Coturnix japonica: one gene and its partners. The protein of the gene in region 2 interacts with the protein of the main gene of each other region in a pairwise test. Links are inferred from orthologs where the notes say so. Each region holds a gene or a part of one and is shown on either strand. Other genes may lie near its edges. The genes, in order: CD81, GLP1R and SLC15A4.

Evidence for each region.
Region 1: the proteins of GLP1R (region 2) and CD81 interact in a protein complementation assay, tested with the Homo sapiens proteins (2 studies listed by BioGRID). The link is inferred for Coturnix japonica from reciprocal best matches to the Homo sapiens genes GLP1R and CD81.
Region 3: the proteins of GLP1R (region 2) and SLC15A4 interact in a protein complementation assay, tested with the Homo sapiens proteins (2 studies listed by BioGRID). The link is inferred for Coturnix japonica from reciprocal best matches to the Homo sapiens genes GLP1R and SLC15A4.

Annotation. Positions count from the first base shown.
Region 1 is NC_029520.1:10,912,430-10,916,875, reverse strand, and holds the start of CD81 (CD81 antigen), read right to left. Parts: upstream 2,898-4,446; 5' UTR 2,827-2,897; coding exon 2,761-2,826; intron 1-2,760. UniProt on the Homo sapiens protein: Structural component of specialized membrane microdomains known as tetraspanin-enriched microdomains (TERMs), which act as platforms for receptor clustering and signaling.
Region 2 is NC_029518.1:26,283,712-26,287,357, forward strand, and holds part of GLP1R (glucagon-like peptide 1 receptor), read right to left. Parts: intron 410-3,646; coding exon 256-409; intron 1-255.
Region 3 is NC_029530.1:3,167,783-3,172,058, forward strand, and holds the end of SLC15A4 (solute carrier family 15 member 4), read left to right. Parts: coding exon 1-11; intron 12-2,318; coding exon 2,319-2,467; 3' UTR 2,468-3,725; downstream 3,726-4,276. UniProt on the Homo sapiens protein: Proton-coupled amino-acid transporter that mediates the transmembrane transport of L-histidine and some di- and tripeptides from inside the lysosome to the cytosol, and plays a key role in innate immune response.

The DNA of each region.
Region 1 (4,446 bases), on a different chromosome or scaffold from region 2:
ATCCCCACCCATGCCACAGACAACTCAGCAAGCATAGGAGAAAATAGCTGTGTGTAGCATGGAAGGGAGGACTGAATCATAGAATCATTAAGGTTGGAAAAGACCACTAAGATCATCTAGTCCAACCATCAACTTGCCACTACCATGCCAAAAGTGAGCTCTTTGAACCAGACCCCTCACCAGAGCAGGCGGCAGTGTGTTGGGCCTGGAGGTGCATGTTAGCTGATGGGCTGGGTGAGAGCAGGCTGATTCCTTTCTAGTTATGTTTAATCACATGTTGAAAGACCTACTGGGCCTCATTTGGCCTCTCAGGTTATATAAAAGTGGCCCCAGCTCAATGTACCAGCCACAACCTGAACCATGCTGAGACCCTTCCACCAGCAGTGCCTCAGGGCATGAGCTTGGCAGCTCGCTCAGCAACCATCCAATAACCCAGCACCTTTCGTGGACAGCTGGCCATCTCCCAAAAGTCACTGCTCCCTGTGGCTCTCAAATATCACAAGTATACTGCCTAATTCAGCCATGCAAGAAATAACAGAAATGGGATTCAAGTATTTCTACTGAGGTTTCAGGCCAAGCTCGTGGCACATAAAAGCTTTTCCTTATTATCCCTGTGTTCTGTTAGTGGGGTGAAGCTCTCCTGGAGCTGCCTTTGTCCTCTTCCACCACCCTAGTGATGTCTGCCCACTTTCATCACACTACAACCCAGCACAACTCTACTGGACATGCCACAGGTCTTCCAGAGTTTCAGAAAGCTTTGAGCAGCCTCAGGACTCTCATTCCCAGCACCCTTCAGCACACATCGGCAACGTGCGTGCAATCTTATGTGTGCTCCCTGACAGCCATCGTGGCCCAGCTGCATGCCCCAGCCAGCAAAACAGCCCGGTTCTTCCTAAAGCACGAGGGAAAAACGGCCCCCAAAAGAGAGAAATCTCAGGCAGACGGGGCTGCTGCCAAGGCGCCCAGGGCAACTGGTGCTGAAGCAACATTTTACTTTTGCTTCCCAACACGGCGGCTTTGTTATGTCCCTGTGCTGCTACGGGGGTGTCCGTTTATTTACACCCCAGCAGGACAACGAGGCCACTTCAAAAAGTTATCAGCTTCTTTCTTACTTGTTAACACAGCAAGGCTTAGAATTACTTCCTTTCCTCCCCCGGAGTGAGCTGTTTTTCAGCATGCGGCCAAGCCCTGGTGTCTGCCAAGCTCCCAGTTCTGCCTCGCGCTTGTTTTCGACTCAGCGCCAAGCACACAACAAGCAACAGAGCAGTTCCACAGCCTTCGCATACCAAATGGCTGGCATCGACACTGCCCCAAGCCCCTCATCCCATATCTCCCAGGGGCTGGGACACACAGGCAGCTGCGCTGCCAGCAGCACGGGCACCCTGCGACAAGCGCTTCAGCGCTGCTTCCTCCCTCTGAACATAAAACTTTCTCAGGTCTTCACGATGGGGTAACGACCAAAGCATCCCCCACCCATAGCTGGAGGCATGAGACGTGTTGCTCACCGCACTGATAAGGCGCTAAACCTTACAATTACCCTCGACTCCAGCTTATGGAAGCCATCAGACCTGTTGTTTGGCCACCCAGCCTCATGAAAAGCCCCCGGAATAAACTGCTGGCTGGCAAGCCCTGGAGAGCAGGAACCAAAAGCCATAAAGGGAAGGAAAATGGATCTGGAAGTTCCCCTTTTAAGTAAAAGGATGGTTTACTAAGAGTTAGGTATATAGCACGAGTGAGGGAGCCTCCCCAGGAGCAGCAGCAGCACAGGGCCCTTCTGCATCCTTCCTGTCCCCATGGGACCCTTCCTTTCTGCATCCACACTTCTGCAACAAGAATGGCAGGAAGCCTGGAGCAGGAGGGAAGCAAAGCCCCCGGATAGGCACCGAAGCTCGTGGGGGAGCAGCCCAGGGAGACACAGCCCTGTCCTGCTGCCTAGAGAGGGAGGAGGACGGTCCCAGCTCATCCTGCAGCTGGCACAGCATCGGATATCAATTAATGCCGCTGTCGTCACCGTTTGTCAGCCTTCCTCGGTCACCGCTATGTGAGAAGAAAGGCAAAGCAGAGTCTCAAACCAGGCTGGATTCGGGAGCGCCTCCACCGCTCCCTGACGCGTCGGCGTCTGACCCAGAATTGGGAAAAACGGACAGGAACGCTAACGGTGACCTTCCTCCCCCGCAGGAGGACCCGCTGCCACCACCATGCCCAGGCAGATGAATTATTACATGAGAAACTTTCTCAGAAAAGCAAACCTCAGCACCTTGGGAATATCCGCCGGCTCCACTAAGTTCCCAAAGGCAGCGCCCAGCCCTAACCCAGCCCGCTCCAAGCGCTGCCAGGGCTGCGAGGGGCAGCGCCAGCCCCAACCTCCCCTGCTTTACGCATCCCCTCCGCACGGGGGGGCTCACCCCATCCAGCCCTCAGCAATCGAAAAACCGCACGGCAACAGGACGTGCGGGGAGAGAACAGAGAGCCGAACCCCCGCCCTCGCGCAGAGGATGCACATACATTAAAAAATACATCCATCTACGTGAGTGCATATAGATGTGCCGTATGAATAAATACATAAATAAATAAAGCTGCGTTAGCGCGCATAAAAAAAAACCAAAGGATAAATGATCCCCGCACCCCGCCGACCAAAAAGCCCTGATAGCAGGGTGCAAAGCTCAACATGGGGGCTGGCCGGTGGGGGAAAAGGAATAGAAAATACCCCGGCTCTAGCAGGACGCACAGCCCAACCGCCCTCATCGCGCTGGGGCTTACCCAGAAGATGAAGTTGAAGACGAAGAGCAGGTATTTGATACACTTGGTGCAGCCCTCTACCCCCATGGCGGCTTCGGCGGCAGCAGCTCCCGATCTGAGGCCAAGCTGGGCGGCGGCGGGGAGGGAGAGAGGGAGGGAGCGCTAGGAAGGGCCGCCCCCTGCCCGCCTCTCCCGAGCGGCGGGGGCCCTCCGGGTCCCACCCTCTAACGCTCTTTTTCCTTTCGATTGCTTTTTCCCTTCCCTCTCCCTTCCCCTGTTCTTTTTTTCCCCCCTCTTGTAGCCTTCCCACCCCCGCACCTTCCCTTTTCCCACTTGCTCTTACATTAAAACTCACCCCCATCTTCCCAATGCTTCCTTTCAGCCTTACACAACCCACCACCCAAAAGATCACCTCCAAATTGTGCAGAAGCACTCACCGTGCTTGCTTTGCTCCTTTCCCCATCCATCTGGGGGTATTTCAGGGCTCACCATCAAAGAGATCTGTGTCACACGCGCTGACATTTTTAGTATCCCTCACATTGCAGCTTGGAAGTTGAATTTTAAAAGCCAAAAAGCAGCACCACAGAACCAGCAGAAAGTTTCCTCACCTTCTAGGCTAACCTCACTTTGGTTCATCTGTGCATCCCTAGAAACACAGCCTGCTCACACCCTGCTGTGCAACCAGCAGGCATGGTTGCTTTTTTTTTTAGGGCTGGGGTACCAAAAAGTCAGAACAGAACTCAGAACACAAAAGCCTGATCGAAGGCAGGACCTTATGTGTCTAAAAGAAAAACAAAGAAAAAAAGTAGAAATGAGTTCAAGTGCTCAGACAGCACCCCTGGTGCCTGTCGAACCCTGCTTTGCCCTCTGCACCTGCTGAGCACCCAGTGAGAACTGAGGCAGAACAGAAGCCAAACCAGTTCCCCAATTACTGAGTGCATCCCCTAATCGTGGGCTTGCCATGGATGCATAAACCCTTTGTTTCTAAGCCCCATTTACTCATTTGGCCTTACCAGTGAAGCTGGAGGCTCACAGGGGTATTCATGCACCAGCTGATAGACTGAATCGTTGGCTGTAGGTGTAATCCTGCCTGGATCCTGCCTGTTGATCCAAAAGATAATGACAGGATCCCAATTTTTTTCCCCTGCTATGACACAGGATCCCACAATGCCTTGATTTCTGCCCAAAACAAGCAGGGTTTGCTGCAGGGAAGGGAAAGAACCACATGCAAACTGATAAGGCTTCAGCAGCAGCACAGCCAGAGCTGGGCTTAGGAAGGAAAGACACTCAAATCAGTGTCTGTGTGCTGGGAAGCTGGCAGCCCCACTGCAATCACTACCACCAAACTGGCACTGGAGCCACCTATGGGGAGCTTGGGATATTTGGAAGGTGGTATCATGGCTTTTGCTTTCTGCCTTAACCTATGGGAAGTAGCAAACAAGAAACAAAACTTTTCATACACTCCAAATGCTAAACAATCTGTCTCAGAGCTAATGTGCTCCTACTGCTAGGGCATCCCCATGCCTGAACCATACATTGTCCAGGGCTCCAGCTCAAGGGTCACAGATCCCATCTGAACCTCTCTGTGGCTTGGCAGTGGGGAAGTATTTCAAACTTTATCCAAACATCTCAGTCTTCTATCAATTTATTTGCTTCCAGGCAGCTCAGCCGAGCATGCTTGAAAACTTTGACCTCTGTACTGAAAAA
Region 2 (3,646 bases):
TGACCATACTTGTTCCATTTAGAAGGGCAAACCTACCAGAGGATGATAAAATATACCATGACATCAACTGTTTGCAACAAGTTCTGAAAAGCACAACCACATACATTGTGCTGCAAGGTTCAGAGAAATTACAGACCGAAAAAAGCATCATTTTGGACAAGCCTAGGTGCACAAACTGAAATTACCAGCTGTGATGCAGACACACCACTATGATGACTCCAATATCCTCATAATAACCACAGTGTCTGCCCCTACCTGGAAGGAGAGAAGTCCTTCCCACTGGTGCTCTTGTGTGGCTGTGTTGTACATCCACTTCACCACTGAGTCTTTAATGAAGACAGATATAGCACGGAGGATAAAAGAGGTGAAGAGGTTCAGGTGAATATAATTCCTTGTGCAATGAAGATGTCTGTAAAAAAGGAAGAATCAGTCATGATCCACTAATGGTGTAAAAGCTGCAGTATCACAGATAGGACTGAGGTCGGGCATAACGAGCTCTGTTGAAAATCATGAGGGATCAGAGGAAATCCTGTAACTTAAGAATGGCTGGGGGCATTTCAAATCGTCTTTGGGAAGAAATCACTGTCATGGAGGAAAAGATATTAAAAAGTGCAGCTTTAAGGGAGAATGTCTGAAGGAAGGGAAAAGACGGGTACACAAGAAAAATCTGTTAAAAATGTTCTAAAAATGTGAAAATAAATTCATTTTCAGAAGAAATATCTGAAAGGACTAAAACTATTCTAATTCCACATAATGCTGTACTTAACCCCTTTGAACCCCAGTGATCCCAGTGTCACTGAACAGGTTTACTTTGGCTCAGGTACTGCTGTACATTACAGTTTCTGGGCTGTGTTCAAGCATCCCTTTCCCAGTGAAAAAAAAATAAATAAATCCACCTGTAAATTATCAATTTGACAAGAGAAAAAGCTGTATTCAAATTGCCTCCAAGGGGAATTGTAAATATCTCCTGCATAACAAAAGGGAACAAGATTTCCTCCTCTTCACTCAGAACTGAAAACAAACCAAAAAAAGGAAAAGATAAAATCCTCTTGAATTTCGGCAGTCACAGCTGTAAAGACAACAAAATTGCTACTTATCAAAAAGAGCATGTTAAAGGATAGCAAAGGAAACTGCAGTCATGTAAATGGCAACCAACTGCAGAGTGCTGCTAGTGCTTTACCAGCCTCACCCACAGACTTTTTTCTTCCAGAATTGCAGAGGTACATATTCTGTTTCAAAGGAAGCAACACTAGCTATAAGTCTCTCTTTGATGCTTAAAAAATATATATATATATATATAAAAAATCAGGCTTGGTCTTGAATACTATCAGTTTTAAAATTAAGAAAAAGAATATTTTAATTTAAAAATATATAATTCAATTAGAATTGCTTGTATCACATTTAGGTCACCGCCTATTGCAAAACTTACACATGATTAATGTTTATTCTTGTTTAATTCAAAATTTATTTGTTGCTACACTTCAGAATTGCCATATATTTAAATCCAATTGACAAATGCATGTAAACTAACCAACTGAAGATAATAGGTTGAAGTAGTTACTATTTCTGCTGTAGTCAATGCAAGCTATTCAAATTGCCCAATTCACGAAGTTATGGGCCTGGTTCAGCTTCCATCACTGAAATTACAGATTTTACTTCAATTTCAGAAGATGGAAAATTGGACACTAGAGATACATTACTCTCTAGAATCATTACAAAAAGCAAATATAAGAATTGCTCTGTTGTATAAGAACTTACTAACTCCTCCCTATTACAGAAGTGGTGAATATCAGCATTTTGATGCCACTGAATTCAATTTCTATCCTCATCTAATGAGACTGTACAACCAATAGGAATGAGCCACATTCCAATCAGTATCCAGAATCCACTAACTGGGGTCAAACAGGGGGAGCACCCTATGTTTTTATGAGGAAGAAGTTGTCTTCAGACAGTCAATTTAGATGGGAAAACAAAAAAATAGTTTGATGGCATAGTAAGGCTCACAAACTCCTTAATACCTCTGAAACTTTATTTGCAAAGCCAGAAACAGACACCTGAGCACGCTGCTCTAGTCACTGCTTCTCCACTTAAGGAAAATTGCTAAAAAATCTCTCCACAAAAAGCAGTGCATCAGAATTTCCTTTCTCCTACCAGTCATCTACAGCAAGCATGCTCCTTATAACCTGTCAAAACCATGTACACTCTTCCTTCAATAAGAACATGGTTGCATTCTGTGACTTTTATACCTGGGCTGCTAAGATTACTCAAAAAGTGTCACTGATGGGTAAAACAGGAAGGAATCTGTATGGGAAATTGGTAATCACAGCCTGAACCTCTGATTAATCAGCTGATGCAAGTGTTGGGTCAGCTGTGGGAGCACAAGTGAGAGTAATTTAGCTGTACTCCCGGAAGGGGTGGAGATGGACTCCACCTCCTCTAGACCTCATTTAAGGGCTGACCACCACTAAGGCAACATCTCTTGGAGATTGCTCCCTGGTGGAAATTGCCTCAGCATTTCCCAGTGAAGGAACCCTTATTGGTGAGTTTTTCCTTTTAAATAATTTTTTTGAATGTTGGTTAACATCTTTGTATCAATCCACCTTACAGATGCTCTCATCTTGGGAAACGCTTGGAGAATTCAAGACCATCTGGTGTTCTGCTGGGTGAATTCCATATTGCATGGCCACAACATCTACAAATCACAGTTATCATTACATGGGACTCAGTGTATGAGCTTGTCTACATTTCTGCAGTCATTTTAAATCTTCTTTGAGAAAGAGAAGGGATAAGATTATGCTAAAAGGTGCTGCACAGTACTATAAGGCTTGGGTTACTTTAGCTTTGGGGATTAGAAGCTGGAGGTATGACTGATGTTTTTAAATGCAATGAGGTATATAAGTATGTAGGAGGGAGGACAGGTGAGGGACTGCCTTGCTAACAGAGCGCTGCTTTCAGAGCAAACAATCAGTAACTGGCAATGAGAATTATTTACTAGGCAAGAAAATCTCTTAAGGATCAGAGCACAGAACTGTGAGACAGGAAAATACATTCAGAGGCAGTCTCATCAACATGTAATCAGGATGGTGAGATCCAGGTGTATTCAGCATCCAGGAGCAAGACTGCATGACAGAGTGGCTTCCCTCCTACACCAGAGTAGGCTTATGTCTTTGCATTTTCTAAAACCCTGTGCTCAGCGTTTCTATGCCATAAGAAAATCTGAGTGGAATCAGTGAAATACCTATTGCAATTTGGGAGAGACAAAAAAGAGATTGTTTTATTGGAGGCTAAAGGCTTTATTTTTCTTTTAATCAAACCTACACAACGTACCATCAACATGTAGGAACCAATTCAGGGAGACTGGAGTTTCTTAATTTTGAAGTACTTTGTGCAATGTGTTGGTGCATTACTGGATGAAGCCTGTATGCTAATGTGACCAAGTGACAGCAATATATTTCACGAAAACTTTACAAATTTCAATTAATTTATCTTCCACATAGCAAAAGAAATAAGATTTCCTGAAAGCTCTGCAACAAGAGATTGTGGCAAGAGTCCTTCTCTGCATTGAAATACACCCCACATGGGCCATATCTGGAATACTGTGTTCAGTTCTGGGCTCCCTGGTTCAAAAAAGACAGAACTCTCTAAG
Region 3 (4,276 bases), on a different chromosome or scaffold from region 2:
CACCGATTTTGGTAAGTTATCTTCAGCTTATTCATAGTTTACAAAGTCAGATGGTTTCTTGAGAAGCAGCTGATCTTTGTGCATGTAGAACTGTTGAATCTTACTACTTAGAAAATACATACTTGTCTACTGTTATATTAAGGACTACATTTCATCTTGCATATAGGTCTAAACTAATGTGACAGTACAACACAATACATTGTCCTCATGAAAGCATAGGAAACACATGTTTAGTATTTTGTCAAAGTGCCTGAAGTACTGAAAATACTTTCTAGAGATAAGGGGAATAAAATGTACCCAAATCTTTCTTACTGATTATTCAGCTTCTTAGTTTCAGGAGACTTTGTGGCAATTACCATGAGTTAATTTTGCCATTTCTGTCTGCTACCAGTTTTTACTCTTTCTAAATCTAATGGAACTTTTGCTTTATATTGCCAGTTGAAATTAAAAATAATTATTGGCACCAGTAGGTGGCACTTTGGGAATTTCAGAAAATCCTGCCATCATCAATGGTTTAATTAGTTCCAACAGAAGGAAAATGAGAAGTCCTCTAAACGTATGCCAGGCCTTCCGTGTATAAATGGTTTAGAATTGCATTAAAATCAGTATGAGAGAATTTTCTGTTTGATTTGGTTTTACCGATAAGTAATGTTTTCTGGAAGGCATCCTTATTTGATAAGGCATTCTTGGGGAAAAAAAAGCAGAAGATGACAAATAGCTTTGGCTTTATGCAAGTGTCCTCACCAAGGGGAAGTTTAACCACGTCTGGCTCATCAGGGGTGCTTTCCGTGTGTAGCATGTTCTATTGGTACTACTTTTAATCTTTATATCAGGAGAGTAAACAGATCTGCTGCTGCTGTTTGATTTGGTCTAATGCTATTGAAAGCCGTTACCAAATTCTCATAATAAATTTACTTAGGCCTTCAAGAGCAGGAATGGAAGGAGAAGACTTTATTGAATGAAAGACTCCTGATTTTTTTTAATTAGTTGCTATGTAATAACTATAAGCTTGTACACCAAGCTTATGCTATTAGAGCCGAATCACTGTGCCATTTGATGTAACTACCTGCCTCCAAAATCTACTGTCAGATTTTATTCTCTGCTGGCACGTCGGTGTTGATTGCTGCCTTTGAAATGGCTGTTATTTCTCTGACACAAACTTGAGGTTTCATGGGTTTAATATCCCATCTCATAAAGGATAATTACTACTTTTTAACCACATCTGCTCTCGAAGTGGAGATCCGCACATATATATTGTATTTTAAATGTCAAGGAAAGACTTGGTTTAATTTTATCGCATTTTACTAGAAGTTCGTTTAATTGAATCATAAGTTTCAGTAATTAAAGTAATTTAATCAGAACATTTATAGGCACACTGCATGAACAGCTTGTTAGGATGGATCTACACTTCAGTATTTTTACACCTTCTGACCTTTGTGATAATCTTAATGGTCTCATTGGCTGTGGCTCATGTGGCATGTTGGAAATGAGCCACGATATATTTGTTCTAAAAGTACAGCAATAGTGGATATTTCTTAATAGAGGAATAACATTTTAGCAATGAGCTTTCTTAATTTAACATTAATTAATGTGCTATAACTCACTCATTTATAACAACTTTGAGGGACTGTCAAAGGTGAATTGAACCAAAAGGAACCGTGTATCGTTTCATCAGTTCTTAACTTCGCTCCAAAAGAGGGCTGAGATAACCGCTGTCCTACATCTATAGAGCTGCCAAACTTCTTCCCTTGTACCATTCATTTTCTGATTCTTTTTATTTTCATTTGAAATGAGTTGTCTCCTGAAAAAGTGGATGTGATTTCTGTTACTTACATACATAGAAGTCATCACTGAGATTTTCAGCTGCTTTATTCGAGGTCAGCAAAGCATTGCAATTTTGCAGAATGAGATCTACAATGAAGGGGGAAGAATGGGAGATTATTTAAGTTTTAAGATTGGTCTGACTGGTGAATCATGCCTGTTGCTACATATGTACCGTCCTCGTTGGCACAAAGTTCTTACAGTGGTAGGAGTAACTTCCTGCCATTCTTTTTATAAGGGATGTAATGCAGTGAGACTCTACCTCCTTCCTCAGAGACATTACATGGTCTGAGGCACAGAGGCACAGAAGAAAGATTAAGTGTACTTTCCTTTAAAGTTCCATCATTTGTCCTGCATCATTGTGCTGTCAGGTGGAAAGGTGTTGAGGTCTTCCCATGTTTTGCAAGGAAGTCTTCACTACTTAAGCTTGAAGGGATTGATATTTTCACTTGTATATTTATTAATGTTTATTTTTTCCTTTCTATTTTCTTTTCTAGGTAACATTAATGGCTGCCAATTAAATTATTACTTTTTTTTACTGGCTGCCATCCAAGGAGCAACCCTCTTGCTTTTCCTTATTGTTTCTGTGAAATATGATCATCAAAAATCAAAGATGAATGACGTAGCTGCCAATGGAAGGATCTGATGTCTGTCACAGAGCGGATGATTACAGCAGCTCATGCTGAATCTGTGAGATCTTATGTTTTCTCCGGAGAGACTCTTATTAGACTTGCATGTTACAAGAGTTCTCGCCCCTGCCCCTCTCAGTTAACGTGGGTAAGTGCCTTATGTTGGTGGGGCTCATTTCTTGCACTATGTCCTGGCAGAGGACAAACACAAATCTTGGAAGTGTATTAACTCTAGGCATTCAAGTTGCTCTTTGTAATCATGTGATGTTTACTAAACTCTTGAAAGCTGGGGACTTATGCTTGGATATTGAATGCAGCGAGTCACGTGTGGCATGGGTTAGTCCTGAGTGAGGAACTGCTAAGTGAAATATCATGGATCTACAGAAACACTCAGCTGTCTCAAGCCCACACTGAGGATGCATAGGAAAGAAAACATTTCACAAGAACCTGAAGTAGCAGTTGCAAGAACAAACATACGTAAGCCATGAGAGTTGATTTTCTTGGGAGAAGCAGGGACAAATTAAGTTGCAGATCAGCTGTAATTAAAAAAAACGACATTATCATCTTTTGCTGGAAGTGAACTCAGCCATGAAGATCCAAAGTTACAGTCAAGAGAGTCCAAGACTGAAGGCTGAGTTGGCAACGTGCTGACTCTATGTGTTGCAGTAGCTTGGCATGCAGCTGCTCTAAGTTCTGCTGCATAGTAAACATTTGTTGGCAGTGAAATGGTTTTACTTCAGAATTGGTTTTGAGTTTGCATTGGGTGTATTAGGCCAAAATGAAAACATACATCTTTTGACAGGGTATTCTTCAGTCTGTTACTTCCCTAAGGAGTATTTTAAAGGACTGAGATGGAATTCTCAGAAGATGAATGCGCAAGAACGATTTAGAAGCCTTTTGAGCCAGTTCCTTCAGTTCTGTGTCTTAGTTCTGGCTACCATGCTGCAGGGTTTGCATCTTTCAGCAACACATTCCTATAGCAGAGCAAATGGTTTCCCATTTGGCCTCCTGAGTTTGAATCATTTTAACAATGGATTGTGTGCAGGCTGGTATGGAAGATGGTATTTTGCGAAGATTAATGTGGAAAGAAAACAAAAACTCAACTTTTTATTAATATATTGGATTTTATAGTTTCCTTTGCATTTATGTTGTTAAAATGTCCCTTTTGTTTTTGTACATGGGCATCTTTTTAATGAGTTTACAAAATAAAACAAAACTTCCTTGCTGTGACTTTTGACCCTTTGTTTCTAGGTGAATAAAATTATCCTACAACTATTCTGGTTTTTAGCCTTAATTTCCTCAACATACAGTGAGATCCTATTAAGTGTCAATGTGCATTGACATCCCATTCATTTTGTCAGCTCATGTAAGAGTACATGTATTGTCTTTGCCAAGATAAATCAGGGGAAATAACAGAATAGAGTTCTTTCTTGAATAGATACTGTTTCAATTATTCATTATTAAGTGTTTCTTCTGCTGTTAGATATTGTCAGCTCTGGTGTCCCTTCTTAATCCTTTTCCAAGAAGTGAATTTCATCTCACTGTTTTTCTCCAGTCTTCATATTTTTAACAGTGTTCATAAATCTCTGATTTGATGCCACTCTGCTCCAACCTGGTTACACCAAGTTAAATGAAGTTTACCAGAGAAACAAGAAGTCTAACACTGTGACAGCCCACACAGGCAAGCTTCTGAGAAACATCCAAAGTTCATATGGATTACTTAAGGAGGAGTTCAATGAGCGAAGACTAGGTTAGTCTACACGTTCTTTAGGCAAACAACTTTCACCCTGTCACAAGCAATACAGTAAATATCTGCAGGTTTCTGT